Stegostoma tigrinum: one gene and its partners. The protein of the gene in region 1 binds, or shares a complex with, the protein of each later gene. Links are inferred from orthologs where the notes say so. Each region holds a gene or a part of one and is shown in the gene's direction. Other genes may lie near its edges.

Region 1 (9,389 bases):
GGCAAAACTTTGCTAATAGTCAAGATCAGATTAGTTAGGTGAATCAAGGAAAAAGGGATACTAGACACAAGGTGATAAACACCAGCTAGGTGAAAGTGTTTCCAAGGAAGGGCAGAGAGTTTCAATTCCTATGTGGCCATAAGATGTAGGAGGAGAAGTCGACACTACCATTTGATGAGTTAACGGCTGATCCATTAATCCGCAGTTTCACTTTCCTGCTTTATCCTCACAACTTTCGATTCCCTTAATGATTAAAAACCTGTATGTCTATCTCAGGCCTGAATTTATTTAATAACACAGCTTTGACAGTGGAACAGTCCCTCTTCCGCACCTACACAGGCCCCAAACCCCACCTCTTCCTCCGTTACATTGATGACTGTATCGGCGCCGCCTCTTGCTACCCAGAGGAGGTCGAACAGTTCATCCACTTCACCAACACTTTCCACCCCAACCTTCAGTTCACCTGGGCCATCTCCAGCACATCCCTCACCTTCCTGGACCTCTCAGTCTCCATTTCAGGCAACCAGCTTGTAACTGATGTCCATTTCAAGCCCACCGACTCCCACAGCTACCTAGAATACACCTCCTCCCACCCACCCTCCTGCAAAAATTTCATCCCCTATTCCCAAATCCTCCGCCTCCGCCGCATCTGCTCCCACGATGAGGCATTCCACTCCCGCACATCCCAGATGTCCAAGTTCTTCAAGGACCACAACTTTCCCCCCACAGTGGTCAAGAATGCCCTTGACCGCGTCTCCCGCATTTCCGTAACACATCCCTCACACCCTGCCCCCGCCACAACCGCCCAAAGAGGATCCCCCTCGTTCTCACACACCACCCCACCAACCTCCGGATACAATGCATCATTTTCCAACACTTCCGCCATCTACAATCCGACCCCACCACCCAAGACATTTTTCCATCCCACCCCTGTCTGCTTTCTGGAGAGACCACTCTCTCCGTGACTCCCTTGTTCGCTCCACACTGCCCTCCAACCCCACCACACCCGGCACATTCCCCTGCAACCACAGGAAATGCTACACTTGCCCCCACACCTCCTCCCTCACCCCATCCCAGGCCCCAAGATGACTTTCCACATTAAACAGAGGTTCACCTGCACATCTGCCAATGTGGTATACTGCATCCACTGTACCCGGTGTGGCTTCCTCTACATTGGGGAAACCAAGCGGAGGCTTGGGGACCACTTTGTAGGACACCTCCGCTCGGTTCGCAATAAACAACTGCACCTCCCAGTCGCAAACCATTTTCACTCCCCCTTCCATTCTTTATATGACACGTCCATCATGGGCCTCCTGCAGTGCCACAATGATGCCACCCGAAGGTTGCAGGAACAGCAACTCATATTCCGCTTGGGAACCCTGCAGTCCAATGGTATTAATGTGGACTTCACCAGCTTCAAAATCTCCCCTTCCCCCACTGCATCCCAAAACCAGCCCGGTTTGTCCCCTCCCCCCACTGCACCACACAACCAGCTCTTCCCCTCCACCCACTGCATCCCAAAACCAGTCCAACCTGTCTCTGCCTCCCTAACCTGTTGTTCTTCTCACCCATCCCTTCCTCCCACCCCAAGCCGCACCTCCATCTCCTACCTACTAACCTCATCCCACCTCCTTGACCTGTCCGTCTTCCCTGGACTGACCTATCCCCTCCCTATCTCCCCACTTATCTTCTTTTCTCTCCATCTTCGGTCTGCCTCCCCCTCTCTCCCTATTTATTCCAGAATCCTCACCCCATCCCCCTCTCTGATGAAGGGTCTAGGCCCGAAATGTCAGCTTTTGTGCTCCTGAGATGCTGCTGGGCCTGCTGTGTTCATCCAGCCTCACATTTTATTATCTTGGATTCTCCAGCATCTGCAGTTCCCATTATCATAGCTTTGACAGCTCTGTGTTAGAGAATTCCAGGTTCATCATCCCCAGAGGAAAAAAAAATCCCCATCACTTTTTAAATTTTTAAAATTCATTTACAGGATGAGGGTGTGGCTAGCTAGGCCAGCATTTATTCCATAATTGCCCTGAGTCAACCACATTGCTGTTGGTCTGGAGTCACATGTAGGCCAGACTAGGTAAGGATGGCAGTTACTTCCCCTAAAAGGAATGAGTAAACCAGATGGATTTTTCCAACAACGGGTTCATAGTCATTATTAGCCTCTTAATTCCAGGTATTTATTGAATTCCAATTCCAACAGCTGTCATGGTAGGATTCAAACCCAGGTCCCCAGAACGTTAGAGATAATGGGAACTGCAGATGCTGGAGATTCCAAGATAATAAAATGTGAGGCTGGATGAACACAGCAGGCCACGCAGCATCTCAGGAGCACAAAAGCTGACGTTTCGGGCCTAGACCCTTCATCAGAGAGGGGGATGGGGGGAGGGAACTGGAATAAATAGGGAGAGAGGGGGAGGCGGACCGAAGATGGAGAGTAAAGAAGATAGGTGGAGAGGGTGTAGGTGGGGAGGTAGGGAGGGGATAGGTCAGTCCAGGGAAGACGGACAGGTCAAGGAGGTGGGATGAGGTTAGTAGGTAGCTGGGGGTGCGGCTTGGGGTGGGAGGAAGGGATGGGTGAGAGGAAGAACCGGTTCGGGAGGCAGAGACAGGTTGGACTGGTTTTGGGATGCAGTGGGTGGGGGGGAAGAGCTGGGCTGGTTGTGTGGTGCAGTGGGGGGAGGGGATGAACTGGGCTGGTTGAGGGATGCAGTGGGGGAAGGGGAGATTTTGAAACTGGTGAAGTCCACATTGATACCATATGGCTGCAGGGTTCCCAGGCGGAATATGAGTTGCTGTTCCTGCAACCTTCGGGTGGCATCATTGTGGCAGTGCAGGAGGCCCATGATGGACATGTCATCAAGAGAATGGGAGGGGGAGTGGAAATGGTTTGCGACTGGGAGGTGCAGTTGTTTCGACCCCACCACCCAAGACATTTTTCCATCCCCACCCCTGTCTGCTTTCCGGAGAGACCACTCTCTCCGTGACTCCCTTGTTCGCTCCACACTGCCCTCCAACCCCACCACACCCGGCACCTTCCCCTGCAACCGCAGGAAATGCTACACTTGTCCCCACACCTCCTCCCTCACCCCCATCCCAGGCCCCAAGATGACATTCCACATTAAGCAGAGGTTCACCTGCACATCTGCCAATGTGGTATACTGCATCCACTGTACCCGGTGCGGCTTTCTCTACATTGGGGAAACCAAGCGGAGGCTTGGGGACCGCTTTGCAGAACACCTCCGCTCAGTTCGCAACAAACAACTGCACCTCCCAGTCGCAAACCATTTCCACTCCCCCTCCCATTCTCTTGATGACATGTCCATCATGGGCCTCCTGCACTGCCACAATGATGCCACCCGAAGGTTGCAGGAACAGCAACTCATATTCCGCCTGGGAACCCTGCAGCCATATGGTATCAATGTGGACTTCACCAGTTTCAAAATCTCCCCTTCCCCCACTGCATCCCTCAACCAGCCCAGTTCATCCCCTCCCCCCACTGCACCACACAACCAGCCCAGCTCTTCCCCCCCACCCACTGCATCCCAAAACCAGTCCAACCTGTCTCTGCCTCCCGAACCGGTTCTTCCTCTCACCCATCCCTTCCTCCCACCCCAAGCCGCACCCCCAGCTACCTACTAACCTCATCCCACCTCCTTGACCTGTCCGTCTTCCCTGGACTGACCTATCCCCTCCCTACCTCCCCACCTACACCCTCTCCACCTATCTTCTTTACTCTCCATCTTCGGTCCGCCTCCCCCTCTCTCCCTATTTATTCCAGTTCCCTCCCCCCATCCCCCTCTCTGATGAAGGGTCTAGGCCCGAAACGTCAGCTTTTGTGCTCCTGAGATGCTGCTTGGCCTGCTGTGTTCATCCAGCCTCACATTTTATTATCCCCAGAACGTTACTTGGGTCTGTAGATTGATGGTCCAACAATAATACCACTAGGCTATTGCCTCACTTTAAATGGGTGTCTCCTTACTCAGGGGATGATGCCCTCTGGTCCTGGACTCTCCCATCAGGGGAAACAACCTGCTTGTACTCTTTGTACCCTGTCAAGCCCCCTAAGGATCTTCGACGTTTCAATCGGGTTACTTGTCATTCTTCTAAACTCCGATAAGTAACTTTTTTTTAAAAAACAAACGCAAGTGACTCCCCCGCCCCAACTCTTTTCTCGGGTTTCTACATGCAAACATTAATTATTTGCATAATTCTTCTCCTGGTCTTTCCCAGAATTTCTGCAAGAATACAGCATTGACTATTTGCCCAATCCAAAGATTTGAAGCCACTCAAGTGCCTCCCTATCCGCACCTTTTGTGTGTGTGCTTGCTACAAGTTTTGAAATATATAACGTTCACTTATTGCCCGCATGCAGATGGGTTTAAGAGACAGCGGGCCCGACTCTGACCTTTACAACGGTAAGGAAAGTGGTGGGACACCGAGTCTGGTTAGGCCGGAGGAAGGAGGGACGGAGGGCCAGGGTCTCGAGTAGTCGGCGTTCCGCCTGAGAGGAGCTGAACCTGTAACCGGTGGGTCTACACTCACTCACCTTCACCTAAGCGGCCACCTCTCTACAACCAGGGCAAGCGGTGGATACAGTCACACCCGGAATATGGGGAGGAATGAGAGAGGTGGTAGAGTCTATTCACCTCTGACCCGCTGACGTAGCGGAGACAAGATGGCGGCCCGGGCAGCGGGAGCCGGAGTCCGGCTCGTGTATTGAGGAGAAGGAAAGGAGAAATCCAGGCCGGCCCGTAAAGGGCGCGGGGCATCGGCCTCAGCGCTTAACTTTAACCAGGTATGTTATTCTTTAAGTTGTGAAACTCTCGCATTTTCGAGATTAAACGCTGGAATTATCAGAAGTAGGCGGAGGTGGATTTTTAGTCCACCGTCCCTCTGTCTCCTCCCCCATCCCCGGCCCCCCTGGGATCGAACCCATTTCCATGCTCTTGTTCAGATTTGTTCCCCATCCAGAAACTTTTTGGGATTCATTGTGACAAATATGAAAAGGAAAAAGACAAGGGTGACATAAAAACACAACAGAGAGCAACTGCTATATCTCGGAAGTACGTTCGACTAAAACTAATTTAGGAGGACACAGTACAGATTTCAGAAATAAGGACTTGTGCTTGATATACTTTCAGGAGGTGTAGGGTGCCTACAACACACACGATGGATATGTTATATAAGAATAAGGCCCATGCAGGATATTTTAGAGGATTAGCATTTGACTCAACAGAGTACAAAAGTAGAATCATAGTAAATCAGAGGACAAACGAAAGTTATTAAGGGAAATGGATAAAATGGCAGATAGGAATTGTAGGTGGTTCATTTTATTTGGGCAAAAATTAATTTACTTTGAAAGATTAGAGGAATTTGGGTGAGTTTTAGTTAAAGGGAGCACTTCTGATAGGTGATACTGTAAACATCCAACTGAGTTTTGATTTTGAGTAAAGTGATCTAGGTACAAAAGTTAAGTTGTAATAAATGTCAACCTTGACACTGACTACAGCTGGAATATTGTGTTTTGAAGGTGAGGGCTGATTGGATAGTTTTAATACCTGCAGGTAAAAGGATATGCTTTTTGATATGATCTACCATTATTTGAGTTGTATCGGCTGCGTTTCACACAGGTTTACAAGACTCAAAGCACATTATCCGGCATTATATATGATGCTGAAATTTGACAACATTTGCCAAATACTCTTGAATATGCAAATAATTATTCTAACAACAAATTTAGGATTGTCAGTTCTGCTGACCATGTGGCACACTTACACTTACTAGTAGCAAATTTGTATTAACATTAATAATTAAGAAATTATATGGTAAGGTGGAATTTTGAGAGAGTGAGAAATGTTTAACATTCAATAAAGTGATTTATTTTATGTAATGTTTACAGAAATCATAATTGAGTTTAATAGAGATAGTAGGAACTGCAGATGCTGGAGAATCTGAGATAACAAGGTGTAGAGCTGGATGAACACAGCAGGCCAAGTAGCATTAGGAGCAGGAAAACTGACATTTCGGGTCTAGACCTGAAATCAGAGATCTGGTTTGTATTGGAGTTTCATAAATCTACCGTATATATTAAAGATCTTGACATGAATTGTGGAAGAATATCTAAATAGACATTTTTAATCAACCTGTTCAGTTATGCCCCAGGAGCAGGTGGGACTTGAATTTGGTCCAGAGGTAACAATACTACCGCTGCACCACAAAAGCGAAGAAAAAGGCAAAAATGCAGGGGACACAGGCAAATAAAGAGGGAATTGTGAAGGTCTGTAGATGGCCATTGAATAGTGAGATGAATAGACACCAATAGCTGGCAGAAACAGTGCAGTGTAGAAAAATGTGAAGTGATAAATTTTGCAAGTAGGGACATGATTCAAATAGTAAGATTTGAACAGATGAGTGTTGGAGCTTCGCTGTGGAGTAGCTGGTTCACTAAAGGTTACAACACAAGTAAATCCTTTCTGAAAGAAAGCAAAACAATTTTTTTAAAACTAGAGGTGTGGAATACAAAAGCATGGAATATTGTTGAACCCAAATGACATCTGGAATGTAAGATGGGCAAGTCATTGTAGGGTAGATATAAAGGAATGGATAATGGCCCATGTAAGTTTCCTTGGAATGGAACAGTTCTAGCAACTTGACACAGCAGTAACCACAGTTCCCTGTACTCCTCTTTTACTGACTTTTGCACCTGATATGTCTGTTCGGGCTTAATTTCACACAGCTCCTCCAGAAAATTTGATTGTTTTTGAATCTTTCAAGAAGATAGAAGAAATGAAGACAGACGAAATTTACGAGCTACACTTCTTCAATACTCTTTAAGAGTGGCAAGCCTTTGTGCATCACACCAAACTGTTAAACTATTTATCACTGAATCTCAAAGATCTTTGGGCCGGACTCAATTTAATTAAGAATAAATTGTTTCAAATTTTAGTTATTGGTTGAAGCACATAGTGTAGATTTATTGGTGTGCTAGATGAGCACACGTGGGCGAAGCAAGCAAAGGGTTATGATGTATTTAGATAAGGAAGAAGGCATGAGTAGCATATGGAATTGGTTGCACTGCATTGATTATTTCTGAACCGTATATCCGGTATGATCTTTTTATGCATTGATATCTAAAGATTCTTATTTACTTCTATTTAATGGCTGTATAAATTATGTGTGTGTTAATTATTTTTTCCATTTTACCAGAGGTGATTGTTTATTTGAAAATCAACAATGACATCTATCATCAAACTGACCACCATTTCTGGAGTCCAGGAGGAATCAGCCCTGTGCTATATGCTACAGGTGGATGAGTTCCGCTTTTTGCTTGATTGCGGCTGGGATGAAAGCTTCTCCATGGACATAATTGATGCACTGAAAAAGTAAGCAAACTGTTATTTATAATGACTTAATTGAATGTGAAATATTTGAAAACAGGGTCCAAAATGCTGGGCTGTAAGAAACCAGAGATTTATAATAGGTAATATTTGGAAGAGTGCAAAGTTCCTGAAGGATTGTAGGAATGGAGGAATTTATAGAGTTGTGGATGAGTGAGGCTTTCAGACTCTTGGACCTATAGAGTCATATTCTAAATTTACTGGATTAAGTTCACCAAAAATGGCACAAAGTGGTAATGGGAGAGCATAACAACATGTGTCAAAATAGATGTGGCAGGATTTTGGAAAAACTCAAGTTCACAAAAGGTGGAAGATGAGAGGCTTCTTGGATCTTTTTATTTATTTATTCATTGACACCTTATCCAGATATCCACTTTCAAGTGCAACCTGAAATCTTGAACCTCTGTAGGTAACTTGCCATTAGAGTGTATGAGACTGATTCAAATTTTTATCTATTTTTCAAACGTAGTTACTTTTAGAGGTTATTGCGCTTACGAGAAGTCAATGAAAATATCATTTGGATAATTGAAAATATCTGCTTTGTTTATTAAAAGCTCCATCTAGCTACACTAACAATAAAATCAATATTTTCATTACTATGTTAAAAATATTTGTAACTGTCAAGAAAATATTTTTCTTCTTCCATCAGTTTTGAAGTTGCATTTTACTGATTCTAATTTCGAGTCATAGTCAAACCTCACCGAAACAGAACCTTTGGTCCAACTCATCCATGCCAACCAAGTTTCCCAAACTAAAGTAGTCCTACTTGCCTGTGTTTGGCCCATATCCATCCAAACCTTTCCTATTCTTCTATCTGTGCAAATATCTTCTAAATGTTGTAACTACATGCATCTACAACTTCTTCTGGCAGTTCATTCCACATGCGAACCACCCTGTGTGTGAAATGTTGCCCCTCAGATCCCTTTTTAAATCTTTCTCCTCTGATCTTAAAAATATGTCCTCTAGTTTTGAACAACCCTATCCTAGGGAAAAAAACTTCTGCTATTCTCCTTATCTGTGACCTTCATGATTTTACAGACCTCTGTAAGGTCATCCTACAGCCTCCTACACTGCAATGAAAGAATTCCAAGTCTGTCCCTAAAACGCAAACCCTCCAGTCCTAACAATGTCCTTCTCAATCTCTTTGATCCCTTTCCAATTTAATTATAAACTCCCTGGAGCAGGGTGACCAGAACTGTACACCGTACTCCAAAAGTGGCCTTACCAATGTCCTAGACAGCTGCAAAATGATGTCCCAGCTCCTCTATTCCATGGTCTAAGCAATGAGGCACGCATGTCTTCTTAAGTACCCCATCTATCTGTGACTTTCAAAGAACTTTGTACCTGAACCCCTAGGTCTCTCTGTTTGACAGCACTGCCCAGGGCTCTACCATTAACTATTTAAGTCTTGCCCTTGCTCAGTTTGTATCCTTAGATTCAATGGTTTTGTTTAATTTAATATTGTAATCTGATTATATTTTATCCATACCATTTAGTAAGAGCCTCGTGCCTCAGTGCACTTGATCTCAAATTTCAATAACATTTTCTGAATTTATCCCGAAGACTGAAATATCGATTCCAATGGTCAGTATTGTTCAGCATATCACATGCTATGTTGTGCTGCAGTAAAACAATATTCACTACCTTTCTCAGAAATTTAGTGGAATCTTGATTCAAAAGTTGTCTGACGTTAGTAAAATAAAATGAAATAAAGCCATTGCAGGTTTCTCAGTTCAGTATTTTTGCAGAATTGTTTCACATCTGACCTGAACTTCAAATCAGCAGCTGTTTAGTTTCTGAGAACTGCTTAATCAATTTGAAAAATAAAGTGTTCATAAAGACTTCTTGTCTTTAATCATTTGAGTAAAGTGATCAATTAGACATAAAGACATTTAGTTATGGCAGTCTTATTTATGTTGCAGATATGTTCATTTGGTTGATGCAATCCTCCTTTCTCATCCTGATCCCTTACACTTGGGAGCTCTC
Region 2 (10,398 bases), on another chromosome or scaffold:
GTACGTGAAGGTGGAAGGGGACCTAACTGACATCATGGACCCCTTTGGCATCTGGACCAGTAAGAGGCAGGTCAAGGTGACGCTGAGGATGGGCGCGGACGGGAACATTGTACACCCACCGTCCAGCTTTGCGATCGGCGGGAGCAAGGGCTACCTGACCTATGCAGGGCAACCTAAAGTCTGCCATGCCTGTGGTAGGTCAGGTCACGTAGCGGCCGACTAGCAGCCCCCCCCGGAGGAGAGGAAGGCACCAGGGCCCTGCAGGGACCCCACTAATGTGCAGGAGGGCCAGGTCGTGCAGGAGGGCCAGGTCGTGCAGGAGGGCCCAGCCCTGCGGGATGGGACCGAGGCCAGCAAAGCGCCCCTCCAGGCTCCGCTCCCCCCCCGACAACCCGGAGTCGATGGAGGCGGTGACAGGTGACCCAGGGGAGTGGATGACGGTCTGGAAAGCGAGGAGGAAGGCGCGTCAGCGGGCCCAGGAACCACAACCATCAGGCGGGAAGAGGCAGCTACAAGGGGGCTATAAGACCTCCTCTGACAAGGGAGATTTGGAGAGGGCCCACCCAAAGCAGAAGCTAAAGATCTCAAGGGAGAAGGAAAGCAGCACCCAGCTTCCAGGTGACGGGAGGCATCCTGAGGCTCCCTCCAACAACCAGCCATGTGCCGCTGGGGCCCTGGAGGGCCCCCCAGAACTTCCAGGCGGGAAGGAGGAAACAGCGCGTCCCCAGCCTGACCCAGAGCCGGACTCTCCTGCCTCCGTACCCCCGACGGGGGGATGCCACCCGGAAGGCAGCATGGACGGTTTCCTGAGCCCAGAGAGCGTCCAGCAGTTAGCCAGGGCAATGGGCATGAAGGGACAGATGGAGGGGCTGGACCTTGGACTCAGGGTGGGTACTGCGGTCACTACCCACAATGGGGGTACGAATTGCGAGCATTAATGTGCGCAGCGTCAAGTCCACCGCAAGATGTGTGTCCACGGTGGCCTACCTGACCACCGTCAAGGCGGACATCCTGTTTCTGCAGGAGTGCGGGATACCGCACCTCAGCAGGTACGGGAAATGGTCCAGCGCCTGGACCTGTGGGCCTTCAATCTGGTCGGGGGGTAATGACTGTCGATCCTCGGGCCTGGCTATTCTGCTGCGGGGGCGCAACTTCACCATCTCTCAAGTTCAGGAGGTGGTGGGGGGACGCCTCCTAGTGGCTGACGTCACCTACAGGAATGCTACCCTGAGGCTGATCAACGTGTACGCCCCAGCGGTATGGAGTGAGCGGTTGGCCGTCCTGCAGCGGCTTCCACCCCTGCTGGCTACGTCCAGGCCGGTCATCCTAGGCGGAGACTTCAACTGCATCATCGATCCAGATGGAAGATCCGGCGTGGGGACAGCGGGTGGGGGGAGTCAACTGGATGTCACGTCCAGATTCCTGATGGGGACGGTGAAGGACGCCAAGCTGCTCGACGTCTTCAGCACCCCTGCAGACGGAGTGCAGCGGAGGTACACCTGGTTGCAGCCTGACGGGTCTATTCGCTCAAGGATAGACTTCCTGTTTGTGTCATGGACGTTCTCAGTCAGGTCCACCGGCGTCGAGCCGGTGTTCTTATCTGACCACTGCCTCCTGCTGGCCGACTGTCACTTACAGGACGACCAGCCGGCCGGCAAGGGGACATGGAAGCTCAACACGACTCTGTTTATCCCAGAGAACGTCGAGGAGCTTAAGAGGGAGTACGCCGGTTGGAGAACCCTGAAACCCCTCTTCGAGTCTCCGGGCGACTGGTGGGAGACGGTGAAGGAGAACATCAAGAGGTTCTTTGTCCTCAAGGGTGTTCGGAAGGCAAGAGAGAGGCGGGGAAAGCTGTCGCAACTCCAGAAAAGGGTGCAGAACCTGCTCCTTCTGCAGTTGATGGGGGTCGATGTCACGGAGGACCTCCGCAAGGTGAGGGGCCAGCAAGCCTCGCTCTTCACCATGGAGGCCTCCAGGATAATCTTCCGGTCCAGGGTCCGCTCCATGGAGCAGGACGAGACGTGCTCGCGTTTCTTCTTTCAGAGGGTGCACAAAGAGAGCTCTGTGCTTAGCCGGCTGAAGGAGGACGACGGCTCGGTGACGTCGTCTCGGCCCGACATTTTGAGGATCAGCAGATCCTTCTATGCCGGACTGTACGACATGAAGCCCACGGACAGCACAGCCTCCGAGTCGTTCCTGTCGTCTATCACGGAGGTCTTAGACGACAGCACGAGGGAGTGGCTGGACTGGCCGATATCCCTGGATGAGCTGACCAGAGCCCTCAAGTCCTTGGAGAGGAATAAGACTCCCGGGAGTGACGGCTTACCGGTCGAGCTGTATTCCGCTCTGTGGGACCTGGTCGGCCAGGACCTGCTGGAGGTGTACGATAGTGCGCTTCAGGCAGGGGAAATGTGCAAGTCCATGAGGAAGGGGGAGAGGGAAGAAATTAAGAATTGGCGTCCCATTTCACTATTGAACATGGACTACAAAATCCTGGCCAAGGTCATAGCCAACCGGGTCACGTCTGTCCTGGAGTCGGTGATTCACCCTGACCAAACCTGTGCTGTGCCAGGCAGGAAGATCGCTGAGAGCCTCGCGCTCATCAGGGATACAACTGCCTACGTACAGGACAGGCGAGTGGACACCTGCCTCGTCAGCCTGGACTAGGAGAAGGCCTTCGACAGGTTCTCTCACGCTTACATGAGAGACGTCCTCGTTCGGGGAGGGCATCCGCAATTGGATCCGGCTGCTCTACACCAACATCGTTAGCACAGTCTCGATCAACGGGTGGGAATCGGACAGTTTTCCCATCAGATCTGGAGTCAGGCAGGGCTGCCTGCTCTCTCCTGCCTTGTTCGTGTTCTGTGTGGAGCCCTTCGCCCCATCCATCAGGAAGGACGTGAGCCTGAAGGGCGTGACTATCCCAGGCAACGGAGGCCTTCAGGTCAAGACCTCCCTGTACATGGACGACGTCGCCGTCTTCTGCACCGATCGTCAGTCGGTGAGTAGGCTGTTGGACATCTGCGGCCAGTTTGAACTGGCCTCGGGTGCCAAAGTCAATAGGGGTAAGAGCGAGGTCATGTTCTTCGGGAACTGGGACGACCGCTCCTTCATCCCCTTCACCGTCAGGACAGACTACCTGAAGGTGCTGGGTGTTTGGTTCGGTGGAGCTGGGCCGTGCACTGAGACTTGGGAGGAGTGTATCACCAAATTGAAGCAGAAGCTGGGCAGGTGGATGCTCTGGTCCCTCTCCATCGCGGGTAAGAACCTGGTTGTCAGGTGCGAGGGGCTGTCGGTACTGTTGTATGTGGCGCAGGCCTGGCCTATTCCCTGGACCTGCGCCGCTGCGGTCACCTGGGCCATCTTCCACTTCATTTGGGGGTCGAGGATGGACTGGGTCCGCAGGGACACCATGTACAAAGACCTGGAAAATGGGGGAAAGGGCGTACTGAACGCCACCCTCGCCCTGATGGCTACCTCGGTGTGCGGCTGCATCAAGCTGTGCGTAGATCCTCAGTACACAAACACCAAGTGTCACTACTTACTGAGGTTCTACCTGTCCCCGGTGTTGCGAAGGATGGGCCTGGCCTCGTTGCTGCGGAACGCTCCGAGTAGTTGGACCGTCCTGTACCACCTGTCCTTCGTGGAGAAGTTTTTGAAGGGAAACACCTTTGACCACAAGGCCGTCAGGCAGTGGTCAGCACGTAGTATCCTTGAGACCCTTCGGGAAAAGGAGAGGGTGGATCCCGTCGTGTGGTTCCCCACGCAGACTGCCAAAGTCGTTTGGCAGAATGCCTCATCGCCAGAACTTTCAAACAAGCACAAGGACATTGCTTGGCTGGCGGTGAGAGGGGCTCTGCCAGTGAGATCCTTTATGCATGCCCGGAATCTCTGCGCCACCGCACACTGCCCTCGAGGTGGCTGCGGGGGGAGAACGAGACTGTCGATCACCTCCTTCTGGAGTGTGCCTATGCGCAGGAGGTCTGGAGGGGGATGCAGTGGTATTTGTCGAGGTTCGTCCCGAGCAGGTCCGTGACGCGGGACTCCGTGCTCTACGGGCTGTTTCCTGGGACGCACACCGAGACCAACATCAACTGCGCCTGGAGGACCATCAATGCAGTGAAAGACGCTCTTTGGTCTGCCCGCAACTTGCTGGTCTGCCAGCTGAAAGAACTGACCCCGACCGAGTGTTGCAGACTGGCGCACTCCAAGGTCCAGGACTACATGCTGAGGGACGCGCTGAAGCTTGGGGCAGCCGCCGCCAAGGCACGGTGGGGAAAGACCACGGTATGAAACCCCTCATCCAGAATAGAAAAAAGGGCCCTATCTGGTAACTGGGCCCAGCTGGCGCCTTCCCCAACTGGTCAGGGGGCCAACTGGGACTGTGCGGAGTGACGACTGCCGGGGTATTTTCTTTGCTTTGTTTTTTTTTCTTCTTTGTTTGTTTTTTTTTCCTTTAGTTGGTGTACGTACCCCCTGGGTAACCCGGAGCAGCTTGCATGACTGGGTAGGTGTATAAATATGTTTTATTTTTTGTGCATCTTATGAATAAAGTATATTTTTTCAAATAAAAAAAAGGTGATGAAACGTCTGAAAACTAACCTTCCAGCTCAGCAAGCAAACTCACATCCAGAACCTCAACCTGAGCTACAAATCTTCTCAAAATTCTATTCTCCCTCTACCTGGACCCCTCCCTCCTTTCCTTAACCGTGAACAATTTGTTCACTGAGAACTATCAATATCACATTGGTCACCCTAATTTTTTTCCCCTGCCCCGCTCACGCATTTGAACCGATCTCCCTCTGAACTGAGTGCACTCCATGCTCTCAGATCAAACCTTTGCCAACAAGGGTTGTGCTGTTGTCTGGTGTACTGATCTCTTTCTTGCTGAGGCTGACTGCCAGCACTCACTCTCCCTCTATTTCCCACGGACCATGATTCCCACCATTGAACAACAAGAAAGGGTGCAGAAAAGATTTAGAAAAACATTGACGGGATTGGAGTGTCTGAGTTTTAGGGAGAGGCTGAATAGGCTGGGACAATTTTCCCTGAAGTGTTGGAGGTTGAGGAGTGACCTTATAGGGGTTTATAAAATCATGAGGGGCATGGATAAGGTGAATAACCAAGGTCTTTTCCCCAGGTAAGGGAGTCTAAAACTAGAGGAGTTTAAAGTTAGAGCGGAAAGATTTAAAATGGACCTAAGGCGCAACTTTTTCATGGCGCTACGTGTGTGGAATGAGCTGCCAAAGGTGGTGGAGGCTGGTACAAATACACATTTAAAAGGCATCTGGAAGGGTACCTGATTAGAAAGGGTTGAGAGAGAAACGGACCAGATTTATTTAGGACATTTGGTTGACGTGGATGAGTTGAACAGAAGGGTCTGTTTCCATGTTGTATGGCTTCTCTGACTCTATGACCTTATCAAAAGCCTTCTGAAAGCCCAAGTAAACCATATCCACTGGCTCCCCCTTATCAATTCAAAAAATTCCGGTAGATTTGTCAAGCATGCTTTCCCTTTTATAAATCTATACTGACTCTGTCCAATCCTGTCACTGTTTTCTAAAATGCCCTCCCATTAAATCTTTTATAGTGGACTCAAACATTTTCCTAACCATCTACATTGAGTTAACTGATCTATAATTCCCTGCTTTCTCTCTCCCTTCTTTTCCCTTAAGCAGTGCGGTTACGTTAATTACCTTTCTTTAGACTACCATTTGCTACTCTTAAAGAAATCCATGGTGGTTTTCCCTGACTCATCAACATTTGTCAAGTGGTGCTAATTGTGCCCTCAGTTACTATTCCTAAGAGTGGCTCAGTGGTTAGCACAGTGCCTCAGAGCACCAGGGACCAAGTGTTGACTCAACCTCTGGTGACTGTCTATGTGGGTTTTATACTTTCCACCCGTGTCTGCATGGGGATTGTGTAGGCAGGTGGATTAGCCATCATAAATGCGGTGTTAGGGTCGGCGGGGCAGAGTAGGTATGGATGGGATGCTTTTTGGAGGGTTGGGGCAGACTCAAAGGGCCGAATGGACTCTATCCACACCATATTCCGTGAAGACCTTCAACACCACTGAAGTTAAATCAACCAGTTTGTGATTACTAGGTATATTGCACACTCTGGTTCGAACAAGGATGTAGCACTTAGGATTCTTCAGTCGTCTGGCAACACCCTGGTATCTAAGGAGACCGCCATTCACTTCCCTCAATATCCTTGGATGTACCTGCTCTGATCCTAGTGCAGATCATCCCTTAAGTACAGCCAGTCAGTTTAGTACTTCATTACATTTACCTTTAAGACATCACATCACTGAATGGCCTGCATTAAAGGTTAAGTGGAACCAAGAGTTTAATTATAAAAGAGAGTCACTGCTGACGAGCACCAACATATAACATGCCCAACGATTTGAATCTCAAAAAAACACATCGATTTTAACATGTATAAAACGTTCTATATATTAAAACCTTCAAAAACAAAACGAATTACCTGACAAATTACCCGGTTTCTTACAGAAATAACACGATTATCTCAGTGCACAATATGACACTTTGTGATGAAACCCCTCTCAAGACTCGAGTGTTTCACTTTGTTGTGTCCCCCGACCTCCCGGCCTGTGAGGGGTGGAGGCGGTTTCCAGCCGGAGGTTTACTGGGGCCGGGCCGGAAGTGCCCAGGCCGGCAATGGCGGCTAAGCGGAAAGCGGAGATTTTTGTCCCGGCGGAGGAGAGCGACCAGCTGCTGATCCGCCCGCTGTGAGTGCCACCCCCACCCCCACCCCCTAACACCGTCAACACCACCCCGACCCCCACCAACAACCCCGACCCCCCACCCCCCTCCCCTTCCCCCCACCCCCCCTCCCCTTCCCCCCACCCCTTCCCCCCACCCCCCTCCCCTCCCCCCACCCCCTCTTCCCTCCCCCCCCACCCCCCGCTTCTCCCCCCGCTTCTCCCCCCCCCCGCTTCTCCCCCCCCCCGCTTCTTCCCCCCCCGGCTTCTTCCCCCCCCGCTTCTTCCCCCCCCCCGCTTCTTCCCCCCCCCCGCTTCTTCCCCCCCCCCCGCTTCTTCCCCCCCCCCCCGCTTCTTCCCCCCCCCGCTTCTTCCCCCCCCCTTCCCCCCCCCCCCCGCTTCTTCCCCCCCCCCGCTTCTTCCCCCCCCCCCGCTTCTTCCCCCCCCCCCCGCTTCTTCCCCCCCCCCCCGCTTCTTCCCCCCCCCCCGCTTCTTCCCCCCCCCCCGCTTCTTCCCCCCCCCCCGCTTCTTCCCCCCCCCCCGCTTCTTCCCCCCCCCCCGCTTCTTTCCCCCCCCCCGCTTCTTCCCACCCCCCCAGCTTCTTCCCACATATTCCCCATCTCCCTCGGCCCTCTCCTGTACACCCATCTCTGTTTTCCTTCCCTCCCCTGTATCTCTCCCAATACACACAAGCCTGCTGTTTTTGAGAAAACTGCATATTGGATGCAACTGATGTTCAGTTATCTCTGATGTTAGAGATCTCTGCAGCAGGAATTTATCTTTCAAATTAAAACTTTAAACCTTGTATGTGTGATGACCAAATCCATGCTTGTACTTCATGCACTGGCCTGTAAAGTCATCAGACAACTTTTTTAAATTCATAATTCTTCAAATTGATGCAGTAGAAGACATTGCTTTTCATCACATAAGTTTGAGAATTTTTTTATGAATTGTTAATAGAGGAGCTGGTCAAGAGGTGGGAAGATCATGCATCATTGTGGAGTTCAAAGGAAGGAAAATCATGGTATGATTTAATAAATTGTAAATGTGTACAGTAGGCTTCAGGATTGCTAGTTGACTTCAGTTTTTGTTGTCAGTAAATATCATTGATTGGCTAGCAGAAATTAAACAATTGTTACAGTTTTATATAATATTTTTTAATTGATTTCTTGCAAACTGACTGATACACATATTTGTTAATGATGTCTATGTTGATTAAAAATATGGCTTGCAAACTTTCTTCAAACTGTAGGTTAATTGGTGGCAATGTGATCCGATTAAGAAGCTTTGTTTTGTATTAGATTATATTGGTGTTATGTGTCTATCTGGTCTCACGTTAACAACATGCTAAACTCGGCTTTGAGAATTGATTTTGATGGCCTATTGATTCGCCTTCACCTGAATTTTATCGTATTCAGTTGGATTGTGGAATCCACCCTGGACTTGAAGGAATGGATGCACTTCCATACATTGATTTGATCGACCCTGCGGAGATAGATCTTCTCCTTATTAGTCAGTAAGTATTACAGCTTTCTATTTTAGAATTAAGGAATTACAACATGGCTTCAAAAGGAGATTTCATTTGAACCTTGTTTTCATTGACCCAATCGCTGTATTTAGTTGAGTTACTCTCGATGACAAATAAAAAGTTGTTGCATTGACTGAGATGGGAATAATATATATAATCAGATTGTTAAACAGATCATTGACATTTGGACTTGAGAGCTAGTTTTGTTAAGATTTTGCTATAACCAAAATGCTGCTCTCCTTTTCACACATTTTAAACAAAAGGCTTATATTATTGTTTGTAGGAACACAGGGATAGAAATAACCCATCTGTCCCATGAACCTATTGTCTTATTCAGTTACATTATTGCTGATCTTTACCTCAACTCCTTTGCTTGTCTTTATTCCACGTACTTTGGTATCTTTCCTGTGCAACATCTGTCAATTTTCCAATCTTAATTGACTGACATACACAATTTTTTCTGGGGAGCAGGTTCCTATTTTCTCCTACCCTGTAAGATTTGAGAGTCTATTATTAAGGATGAGATTGCGGAGTACTTGGAAATGCATGGTAAAATGGGGCTGAGTCAACATGGGTTCGTCAAGAGGAGGTCATGCCTGACAAATCTATGAGAATTTTGGTGAAGAGGTAACAATAAAATCAAAGGAGCCCCAGTGGATGTGATCTGTTTAGCCAGAAAGCCTTTGACATGGTGCTGGATGGAGGGCTGCTAAATAATTTAAGAACCTGTGGTGTTAGGGGCAAGGTTCTGGAATGGATGGAGGATTGGCTGACGAGCAGAAAGCAGAGTAGTGGGGTTTAAGAGGTCTTGTTTTAGGACAGCAACTGGTAACATGTGGCATTAGCATTGTGACTGCACATTATTCGTGTTATACATTAACAATGTGGACAAAGGAACTGAGGGCAATTTTGCTAAATTTGCAGATGGCCCACAAGTGGAGGGATAGGTAGTGTTGAGCAAGTGGGGAGGCTGCACAAGGATTTGGATTGGCTCGGAGAGTGGGCAAAGAAGTGGTACATGGAATACAGTGTTGGAATATGTGAGGTTTGCACTTTCAAAGGAAGAATAGAGATGCTGTCTGTTTTCTAAACAGAATGCCATTAGAAATCTGAAGCACAAAGGGATTTGGGAGTCCTAGTTCAGATTTCTCTTAAGGTTGATATGCAGGTTCAGTTGGCAGTCAGAAGGGAAGGTGTAATTTTAGCATTCACAGAATACAAGAGCAGAAATGTACTGTGGAAGCTGTATAAAGGCTCTGGTCATTTGGAATATTGTGAGCAGTTTTAGGCTTCATATCTAAGGAAAGATGTACTGGCATTGGAGGAGAACCAGAGGCAGTTTACAAAAATGATCCCGGTGATGTTGAGCTTGTCATGAGGATTCTGGGTTTGTACTCTATGCAGTTTAGAAGGGTGAGCAGGGATCTCACTGAAACCTACAGAGACACCTGGCTAGACTGGATAGGGAGAAGACTTTTTCATTAGTGGGAGAGACTAGGACCTGAGGGCACAGCCTCAGAATGAAGAGCAGCCCTTAAGAACTGAGATGAGGAGGAACTTCGTCAATCAAAAGTTGGTTAATCTGTGGAATTCATTGTTGCAGAGGGCTATAAAGCCCTAGTCATGGAGTGTATTTAAGACAGAGATAGACAGGTTCTTGATGGATATGGGGTTCAAGGGTTATGGGGAGAAGCCGGGAGGATGGCGTTGAGGAACGTATCAGCCATGATCAAACGATGAAGAAGTCTTGATGGGCTAAGTGGCCTAATTCTGCTTTTATATTTTATGATCTTACCTAAATGGCAAGTTTAAGATTATGCTCTGCTGTTGTATATTTTCCCAATACTGGTTTCTCTGCATTTACACAAATGATTTCCATAAAACATAAAACAAAACATTGATTATATCAATCCTCGCCCTTCTGAACTCTGAAAATTACAGCTATGCTAATGTATCCGATCATGATAATTTAAGATTGAAACCGTGATCCCATTCTGGTGAGTCTGCACTATATTACCTCTAAAATCAATAATGTCCTTCTTGAGGTTTAGTTTTCAAAACTGAATAACGTATGCCGCATAGTCTGTAACCACTGTGTTATCTTTTCACCTTAATGTGCAAACCCCTTGAGATCATGGCAATTGGC
Region 3 (10,117 bases), on another chromosome or scaffold:
TTTTTGGGCAAAGAAGTTTCTTTTGAATTCCCCACTGCATTTCTCAAAGACTATCTTTACTGATAGCCTATAGTTACACCGTTCACAAAAAGTGTAAACATTTTACGTGTTCGCCCTTATCAAAACCTCTCATATGTTTAAACATGTCACCCCCAACCTTTTTATTTTCATGTAAGATCTATCCTTTTAAACTTTTTCTGACACATACATCCAGACATTTCTGGTATGATTCCCATAAATCTTCTTTGCACTGTCTCCAGTGGGTCTTTGCTTTAGGATTGCTCTTGCTGTGTTCGTATAAAGTCTGCAATCATCTAACCTTTAGGATAACAGCAAGCAGTAGACAACCCTATATAATATATAAAGGAGAAGGCCATTTAGGAGGTAGGAAGGCAGTTTGCTGTGAAGAAAGTTTCTAAGATTACATAGAGATCAAGATCAAATGTGAGGAGCAGATGTAGTTTAATTTGGATAAATGTGAAGTATTGTATTTTGGTAATACAAATTTGGGCAGGACTTATACAATTAATGGTAGGGCACGGGTAGTGTTGTAGAACAAAGAGACGTCGGGTTTCAAGTACATAATTCTTTGAAATATGCGTCACAGGTAGACAGGGTGGTTCAGACTTGCCTTCATTGCTTAGAGGAGTTGGAACATCATGTTGAAGTTATACAGGGCAGTGGATAGGCCTCTTCTGGAGTACTGTATGAAGTTCTGGTCTCTGTGCTCTAGGAAGGATATTATTAAACTGGAGACAGTTCAGAAAAGATTTACCAGGATGTTGCTGGGACTGGAGAGTTTGACATATAAATATAGACTGGAAAGGATGAGACTTTTTTCACTGGAGCATAAGAGGTTGAGGGATGACCTTACAGAGGTTTATAAAATCATGAGGAGCATAGGTAAGGTGAATAACAAAGGTCTTTTCCCCAGGGTGGAGGGGTTCAAAACTAGGGGCATACTTTTAAGGTGGGAGGAGAAAGATTTAAAAAGGATATGGGGGCAATTTTCTTTTTTGCAGAATGTGGTTTGTGTGTGGAATGAACTGCCAGAGAAAGTAGGAGATGCAGGTACAGAAAGGTTGAGAGGGATATGGGCCAAGTGTGAGGCTATAGTGTAAAAACATGGTTGGCATGGACTGATTGGACCGACAGGTCTGTTTTCATGCTGTGTGACTCTTTGGTGTGATAATGTCATGGAACTATGTAATCTAAAACTCCCAATGAATGTTCTGGGCATGTGTGTTCATATTCCACCATGGCAGATGATGAAATTTAACAAAAACAATATCCTAAGGATGGAGATCTGAAATAAAAACAAAGTACCGCAGGAATACAGCAGATCTGACAGACAAATGTGGCATGAGTAATTGAGTAACCGAAGAGGGCTGGCCCGTGACTTGTTTTAATGCTATTTGACAAAGGGGAGGCAGAGTGAGCGAAACGATGGTGAGGATGCAAATAGCAACAAAGCGTGTAAATGTTAAAAGAAAAGGATCTAGATCCTTCCTTTACTGCCTTCAGTCCTTCATGTTCCCAAACGTCTCACCTTCACCACTATGAAAACGCCCTTTGTCGTTGGAGTGGGCAATCTCACCATCTGTTTCATCCTCTCCTTTGTCTGTAGCATAAAGCCATCATTTTTATGGCCACCCTCAGTTCCAAACAAGATTCTTTGCACAATATTAACTCCACGCCTCAATCTCGGCTCCCCATGCTGTAACTGGATCCTTGACGTCCTGACCCATAAACTGCAATCAATAAGAACAGGTGACGACACCTCCTCCACCGTAATCCTCAACACCAGCCCCTTAAGGTTGTGTACTCAGTACCCTACTATTCTTCTCATACACTCACAGCTGTGTGGCCAAATTGGAACCCAACACTATAAGTTTGCTGACAACACCATCATTGTAGGTCAGGTCTCAAACAATCATGACACAGAATACAGCAAAGAGATTGGGTGCTTAGCCTCACAGTGTAAGTACAGCAATCTCTCCATCAATGTCAGCAAAACAGAGGAGCTGAGCATTGACTTCAGGAAGCGGAGTGGAGGGCACACTGCTGTCTGCATCATTGTACTGAGGTGTAGATGGTCAAGAACATCAGACTCCTGGGAGTGACGATCACCAACAATATTTCCTAGTTCATCCACATCAACACGACGGTCAGGAAAGCACAGCACCATCGCTACTTCCTCAGGAGGCTAAGGAATTTCAGTGTGGCTAATAAGGACTCTTATCAATTTTGACAGATGCATCATACAAAGCATCCAATCTGGATGTATCACCGCATGGCATTGCAACAGCTTTTCCCAAGACCACAAAAAACTACAGAGAGTTGTGAACATTGCTCAATTCATCACTCAAACCAGAAGACAAAGAAGTTTAAACATGCATACAAATATATTCAAGAAAAGCTTCTTCCCCACAATTATCAGGCTTTTGAACAAACCTCTTTAAGGTTAATTCCGATCTCTTTGTGCACCTTCTCTGCAGCTGTAACACTGTATCGTGTACTTTGTTCTGCTATCCTGATGCACCTTGTATGGTACAATATGTCTGTACAGCACGCAAAGCAACACTTTTCACTGTATTTCAGTACATGTGACAACAATAAATCAATCAATTTCCCAAACACTGCCAGACCTGCTAAGCTTCTCCAGCACTTTCTACATTGACATAGTCAGTATGTGCAGAGAACTAGTGGTTAAATATAATAGCACAGGATGAGATACCCACCATACATCATCCCTAGAGCAGAGAACCTAAACCCACTTGAGAATTTTAATAAACATTTCTCCTCGAAACCGAACCTTTCCAGTTGTCCCCATGTGCTTCCGGTCGGGAGAGTCCCCGCCCACAAATGTCGCCATTGGCCAAAATACAGAGACTGGAGACGCGAATGGGCCATTCTCGCCAAGAAGCCTCAATGTGATTGGTCGTAATCAATGTCAATCAGTGGGAGGCTCGCTCCAAGACCAGTGCAATAGAGTATCGAGCAAGCGAACTAACCCCCCCCCCCCCCACAGACTTCAATGCCTGGAGTCTGCTTTAGAAATACCATTTATAAAACACAACAGCATATGTCATGGAGTGTGTGCAAAGGTAAGACTGCATATTAGGAAGGCAGCTTTCCCACATTCTATTCCTTGGAATTCCCATCAAATCCCTTTTGTTTGACCAAGTTTATGGGTTCCCCATTGCTTCTTCTGCAGTTGCATGTGCCTCATATCTGGTTGGTAAAAGCGTTATATACATGTAATTTATTGCTAAGTTGTTTGGCAACATTATTCCCACTGCAACAAATAGCATATATTTACACAGGGTATTTTGTTATGGCATAGAACCTAAACACAGGCCTGTATCCTATGAGGAAATGTGGCGTTCTGATATAAGGTACCTGTCCCAGCTTCAGTCTGTCTGTACAAAAGGTTCAGTATCATATCTTTAGTTAGTCAGCTCTGTGTAACTGGTTAGTGTTGTAAATAACCTTTAGATATCTATCTCAAAAGGAGCCTAAGTCTATTGTAATGTGGGCGAATATATAAAGAAACCCACAAAGCACATCATGATGGTGGTAAATGGGTATTAAAAGCTAGTGGTGAAGGTGAGTTAGTTGCACTAAGTGGATGCTAAAGGCCTGAAAAGATTATAGTAACGTAACAATTCTGAAACGTCTTTTACCTGACAGTATTCCATCAATCTGACTGAGATTAGAGCTGAAGTTGCAACTACAATCAAGACTAGAGTAATAGGTGTAAAATTAATGTCTACAACCTGTAATGAAGTGTAGTGAGTACTCTGCTCTTTAAAACAAACTGGTATAAGGTGCTCGACACTCCAATATTTAAAACAAAACATCAATTTACCAGAAGCCCAGGACAGCTCTGATTTTTAAAAATATGCAATTTAAAAATGTGGAAGGACAGCCTTCCTGATCGAAGAAATTAATTTTGTAACAAAGTACAGAAAAATGTTACAGGACCTGTGTTCTAATACCAGGCAGTTCCACTATTTTCCTGAAACAGCATGAGAATAACAAATAACCATTATCACTACTACATTTTTTTGTGCAGAGGCCACTTACAAGCACGAGCTTGCATCTTTAAAAGGGGGTAACATTTAAAAATAGAGAAAAGAGGAAACAAGCTAACAACAGCACTACAGATCTTCATACTGGCATTTTAGAGAGCATTAGGCTACAAAAAGAAAATACAAAAATTTCACCATAGACTAGCAATCCACTGACTTTGTCAGAAATTCACTTGTGTAAAGAATCAAATATTTACTTTATGGATCAGTGGATAACTGACAAAGAACAACAGGCCGCCAAATCTTTCCTTGCGTTGGACACTGAAGGGATAAGAAGAATAAAATGCTTTGGCACTTCAATGGCGACTTCAAAGATTCTAATGGAATGTACAAGGATGCATAGAGATATATTATGATATCTATATATTCAATAATGCCTTGGTGGACATGTAACACAGTTATCACAAATGTTAACTCTAAACTACATGCAACTATTCTGAGAGTCTGGGTTCTGTGCTTACTTATGTTACTGGACATTTCTTACATGTAGTTAACTGACTGAAGGCATGACACTGCCTTCATTAAACAAATAGAGTCTGAAGGGGAGATGGCTACCTTTCAATTGTAAGGCACAAATATATTGAAAATTAATCAGAATTACCTGTAAAGTGCTTGAATATAAAGCAAGGGATACCGATAATTGTAGACCTGCTATTAAGATGAGACACACGAAGCAGAAAGAGGAGAATCACACTTTTAAAAGTATATGTGAGATAGAGAATAGCTGAGTGACGGAGAAGGAAGCATTTCTGGCAAATCACTCAGGTAGCAGCAGCCCAGGAGCCTGTGAGAAGAAAACTGTGTGTGTTGACACTGAAGTAGGTGAGCGGGGGGGGGGGGGGTGTCATTATTCCACCCTTAACAACAAATGGCTTCTTACTCCAGATCCCAGCAGTCCCGCTCTGAATGAAAGTGGGAAGCTGGATGACCACAGCAGGCCAAGCAGCATCTCAGAGCACAAAAGCTTTTGTGCTCCTGAGATGCTGCTTGGCCTGCTGTGTTCATCCAGCTTCACACTTTGTTATCTTAGATTCTCCAGCATCTGCAGTTCCCATTATTTCTGAATTAAAGTGCAATGTGTTAGAGTCTGAAGGCCAAATATTTCCAAGATGATAACATGACCTACACATCAAACACACTTCATTAGCTGTAGATGGATTTGGAACCGCTTGAGGTGGTGAAAGGTGCTAGGCAAATGCAAACCCTGACAATCCACGGGGGCTACAAAGTGAAGACGAGGAGACGCTCGCTGTTCAGTATAGGAACGGCTGCCCGCTCCTCCAGTACAGTCGGGGGCGCTGTGACTGGCGACGGGTCGCCTCTTGATGCGGCGGCCGGCTCGTTGTTTGGAGCAGGGGGCTGAGCGGATACCGTACCCGGTGCTCGGGCCTCCCGTCCGGAATCCGGCGCTGGTTGTAGTAGTAGTTGTTGTGAAGCCTCGGGCCCGGCTCAGGTGGCGGGAGGATGCAGGAGCTCATTTCAATGTGGAGCACATCAGGTTCGAGCTGGAGATCGCGGTGGAGCAGCAGCTGGGGGCGCAGCCTCTCCCGTTCCCCGGAATGGACAGTGAGTGCGGGGGGAGCGGGACCTCTCACATACTGCACCCCCCCCCCCACTCACCAAACCCCCCCACTCACCAACCCCCCACTCACCAATCCCCCCCCACTCACCAACCCCCCCCCACTCACCAACCCCCCCCCACTCACCAACCCCCCCCACTCACCAATCCCACCCCCCCACTCACCAACCCCCCCCCCACTCACCAACCCCCCCCCCCACTCACCAACCCCCCCCACTCACCAATCCCCCCCCACTCACCAACCCCCCCCCCACTCACCAAACCCCCCCCCCACTCACCAACCCCCCCCACTCACCAATCCCCCCCCCCACTCACCAACCCCCCCACTCACCAACCCCCCCACTCACCAACCCCCCCCCCACTCACCAATCCCCCCCACTCACCAATCCCCCCCCCACTCACCACCCCCCCCCACTCACCAATCCCCCCCCCACTCACCACCCCCCCCCACTCACCAACCCCCCCCCCACTCACCAACCCCCCCCCCCCCACTCACCCAACCCCCCCCACTCACCAACCCCCCCCCACTCGCCAACCACCCCCCCCCACTCGCCAACCCCCCCCCCACTCGCCAACCCCCCCCCCCTCGCCAACCCCCCCCCCCACTCGCCAACCCCCCCCCCACTCGCCAACCCCCCCCACTCGCCAACCCCCCCCACTCGCCAACCCCCCCCATTCACCAACCCCCCCTCCCCCCATTCACCAACCCCCCCTCCCCCCATTCACCAACCCCCCCATTCACCAACACCCCTCTCACCCCATTCACCAACAACCCCTCCACCCATCCCTCCTCCCCCCCCATCCCTCCTCCCCCCCCATCCCTCCTCCCCCCCCATCCCTCCTCCCCCCCCCCATCCCTCCTCCCCCCCCATCCTCCTCCCCCCCCCATCCCTCCTCCCCCCCCCATCCCTCCTCCCCCCCCCATCCCTCCCCTCCCCGATCCCCTCCCCGATCCCCTCCCCGATCCCCTCCCCGATCCCCTCCCCGATCCCCTCCCCGATCCCTCCCCGATTTCCCCCATCCCCTCCCCCATCCCCTCCCCCATCCCCTCCCCATCCCCTCCCCCATCCCCTCCCCCATCCCCTCCCCGATTTCCCTCCCCCCATCCCCTCCCCGATTTCCCTCCCCCCATCCCCTCCCCCCATCCCCTCCCCGATTTCTTTCCCCCTCCCCTCCCCGATTTCCCCCCCTCCCCTCCCCGATTTCCCCCCCTCCCTCCCCGATTTCCCCCCTCCCTCCCCGATTTCCCCCCCACAATTTCCCCCCCATCCCTCCCCGATTTCCCCCCCTCCCCTCCCCGATTTCCCCCCCTCCCCTCCCCGATTTCCCCCCCCACAATTTCCCCCCATCCCCTCCCCGATTTCCCCCCCACCCCCTCCCCGATTTCCCCCCCCACCCCCTCCCCGATTTCCCCCCCCACAATTTCCCCCCCATCCCCTCCCCGATTCCCCCCCCATCCCCTCCCGATTCCCCCCCCCATCCCCTCCCCGATTCCCCCCCCATCCCCTCCCCGATTTCCCCCCCTCCCCTCCCCGATTTCCCCCCCTCCCCTCCCCGATTTCCCCCCTCCCCTCCCCGATTTCCCCCCCCACAATTTCCCCCCCATCCCCTCCCCGATTTCCCCCCCACAATTTCCCCCCCATCCCCTCCCCGATTCCCCCCCCATCCCCTCCCCGATTTCCCCCCCCATCCCCTCCCCGATTCCCCCCCCCATCCCCTCCCCGATTCCCCCCCCATCCCTCCCCGATTTCCCCCCCCTCCCCTCCCCGATTTCCCCCCCCATCCCCTCCCCGATTTCCCCCCCCCATCCCCTCCCCGATTTCCCCCCCCATCCCCTCCCCGATTTCCCCCCCCCATGCCCTCCCCGATTTCCCCCCCCATGCCCTCCCGATTTCCCCCCCCCATGCCCTCCCCGATTTCCCCCCCCCATGCCCTCCCCGATTTTCCCCCCCCATGCCCTCCCCGATTTTCCCCCCCCCATGCCCTCCCCGATTTTCCCCCCCCCATGCCCTCCCCGATTTTCCCCCCCCATGCCCTCCCCGATTTTCCCCCCCCATGCCCTCCCCGATTTCACCCCCCATGCCCTCCCGATTTCCCCCCCCCCATGCCCTCCCCGATTTTTCCCCCCCCCATGCCCTCCCCGATTTTCCCCCCCCATGCCCTCCCCGATTTTCCCCCCCCATGCCCTCCCCGATTTTCCCCCCCCATGCCCTCCCCGATTTTCCCCCCCATGCCCTCCCCGATTTTCCCCCCCATCCCCTCCCGATTTCCCCCCCCCCGATTTCCCCCCCCCATGCGCTCCCCGATTTTCCCCCCCATGCCCTCCCCGATTTTCCCCCCCATCCCCTCCCCGATTTCCCCCCCCGATTTTCCCCCCCATCCCCTCCCCGATTTTCTCCCCATCCCCTCCCCCCTCCCCCTCCCCCTCCCCCTCCCCCTCCCCCTCCCCGCTCCCCCTCCCCCCTCCCCCCTCCCCCATCCCCCTCCCCCCTCCCCCATCCCCATCCCCCTCTCCCCCATCCCCCTCTCCCCCATCCCCCTCACCCCCATCCCCCTCTCCCCCATCCCCCTCTCCCCCATCCCCCTCTCCCCCCCACTCTCCCCCCCCCCACTCTCCCCCCCCACTCTCCCCCCCCCACTCTCCCCCCCACTCTCCCCCCCCACTCTCCCCCCCCCACTCTCCCCCCCCCACTCTCCACCCCCCCCCACTCTCCCCCCCCCCACTCTCCCCCCCCCCACTCTCCCCCCCCCACTCTCCCCCCCCACTCTCCCCCCCCCACTCTCCCCCCCCCCACTCTCCCCCCCCCCACTCTCCCCCCCCCCACTCTCCCCCCCCCCCCACTCTCCCCCCCCCCACTCTCCCCCCCCCCACTCTCCCCCCCCCCACTCTCCCCCCCCCCACTCTCCCCCCCCCACTCTCCCCCCCCACTCTCCCCCCCCCACTCTCCCCCCCCACTCTCCCCCCCCCACTCTCTCCCCCCCCACTCTCTCCCCCCCACTCTCTCCCCCCCACTCTCTCCCCCCCACTCTCCCCCCCACTCTCCCCCCCCACTCTCCCCCCCCACTCTCCCCCCCCACTCTCCCCCCCCACTCTCCCCCCCCACTCTCCCCCCCCTCTCCCCCCCCCCAACCCTCCCCCATCCCCCCCCTGCCATTGCCCCCACTCTCCCCCATCCCCCCACTCTCCCCCCCACTCTCCCCCCCACTCTCCCCCCCACTCTCCCCCCCACTCTCCCCCCCACTCTCCCCCCCACTCTCCCCCCCATCCCCCCCACTCTCCCCCCCATCCCCCCCCTTCCCCCCCACTCTCCCCCCCCTTCCCCCCCACTCTCCCCCCCCCATCCCCCCCACTCTCCCTCCCCCATCCCCCCCACTCTCTCCCCATCCCCCCCACTCTCTCCCCCATCCCCCCCCACTCTCCCCCCATCCCCCCCCACTCTCCCCCCATCCCCCCCCACTCTCCCCCCATCCCCCCCCACTCTCCCCCCATCCCCCCCATCCCCCCCCCACTCTCTCCCCCCATCCCCCCCCCACTCTCTCCCCCCATCCCCCCCCCACTCTCTCCCCCATCCCCCCCCCACTCTCTCCCCCCATCCCCCCCCCACTCTCTCCCCCACTCTCCCCCCCCCACTCTCTCCCCCCCCCACTCTCCCCCCCCCCCCACTCTCCCCCCCCCCACTCTCCCTCCCCACTCCCCCCCCCCCCACTTCCCCCCCCCCCACTTCCCCCCCCCACTTCCCCCCCCCCCCACTTCCCCCCCCCCACTTCTCCCCCCCCCACTTCCCCCCCCCCCACTTCCCCCCCCGCACTCTCCCCCCCCGCACTCTCCCCCCCCCGCACTCTCCCCCCCCGCACTCTCCCCCCCCCGCACTCTCCCCCCCCGCACTCTCCCCCCCCCACTTCCCCCCCCCACTTCCCCCCCCCCACTTCCCCCCCCCCCACTTCCCCCCCCCCCACTTCCCCCCTCCCCACTTCCCCCCCCGCACTCTCCCCCCCGCACTCTCCCCCCCCGCACTCTCCCCCCCCCCGCACTCTCCCCCCCCCGCACTCTCCCCCCCCCCGCACTCTCCCCCCCCCCGCACTCTCCCCCCCCCCGCACTCTCTCCCCCCCCGCACTCTCCCCCCCCCCGCACTCTCCCCCCCCCCCGCACTCTCCCCCCCCCCGCACTCTCCCCCCCCCGCACTCTCCCCCCCCCCGCACTCTCCCCCCCCGCACTCTCCCCCCCCGCACTCTCCCCCCCCGCACTCTCCCCCCCCGCACTCTCCCCCCCCCCACTTCCCCCCCCCACTTCCCCCCCCCACTTCCCCCCCCACTTCCCCCCCCCACTTCCCCCCCCCGCACTCTCCCCCCCCGCACTTCCCCCCCCCGCACTCTCCCCCCCCCGCACTCTCCCCCCCCCCGCACTCTCCCCCCCCCCGCACTCTCCCCCCCCCCGCACTCTCC

What was found.
Region 2: cpsf2 (region 1) and cpsf3 share a complex: the UniProt entries of both Homo sapiens proteins name them as parts of the cleavage and polyadenylation specificity factor (CPSF) complex. The link is inferred for Stegostoma tigrinum from reciprocal best matches to the Homo sapiens genes CPSF2 and CPSF3.
Region 3: cpsf2 (region 1) and cpsf4 share a complex: the UniProt entries of both Homo sapiens proteins name them as parts of the cleavage and polyadenylation specificity factor (CPSF) complex. The link is inferred for Stegostoma tigrinum from reciprocal best matches to the Homo sapiens genes CPSF2 and CPSF4.

Annotation. Positions count from the first base shown.
Region 1 is NC_081363.1:27,961,692-27,971,080, reverse strand, and holds the start of cpsf2 (cleavage and polyadenylation specificity factor subunit 2), read left to right. Parts: upstream 1-4,665; 5' UTR 4,666-4,801; intron 4,802-7,212; 5' UTR 7,213-7,239; coding exon 7,240-7,388; intron 7,389-9,325; coding exon 9,326-9,389. UniProt on the Homo sapiens protein: Component of the cleavage and polyadenylation specificity factor (CPSF) complex that play a key role in pre-mRNA 3'-end formation, recognizing the AAUAAA signal sequence and interacting with poly(A) polymerase and other factors to bring about cleavage and poly(A) addition.
Region 2 is NC_081357.1:115,212,219-115,222,616, forward strand, and holds the start of cpsf3 (cleavage and polyadenylation specificity factor subunit 3), read left to right. Parts: upstream 1-6,624; 5' UTR 6,625-6,680; coding exon 6,681-6,751; intron 6,752-7,684; coding exon 7,685-7,748; intron 7,749-8,141; exon of another isoform or gene 8,142-8,142; coding exon 8,143-8,240; intron 8,241-10,398. UniProt on the Homo sapiens protein: Component of the cleavage and polyadenylation specificity factor (CPSF) complex that plays a key role in pre-mRNA 3'-end formation, recognizing the AAUAAA signal sequence and interacting with poly(A) polymerase and other factors to bring about cleavage and poly(A) addition.
Region 3 is NC_081376.1:10,069,943-10,080,059, forward strand, and holds the start of cpsf4 (cleavage and polyadenylation specificity factor subunit 4), read left to right. Parts: upstream 1-5,399; 5' UTR 5,400-5,419; coding exon 5,420-5,660; intron 5,661-10,117. UniProt on the Homo sapiens protein: Component of the cleavage and polyadenylation specificity factor (CPSF) complex that play a key role in pre-mRNA 3'-end formation, recognizing the AAUAAA signal sequence and interacting with poly(A) polymerase and other factors to bring about cleavage and poly(A) addition.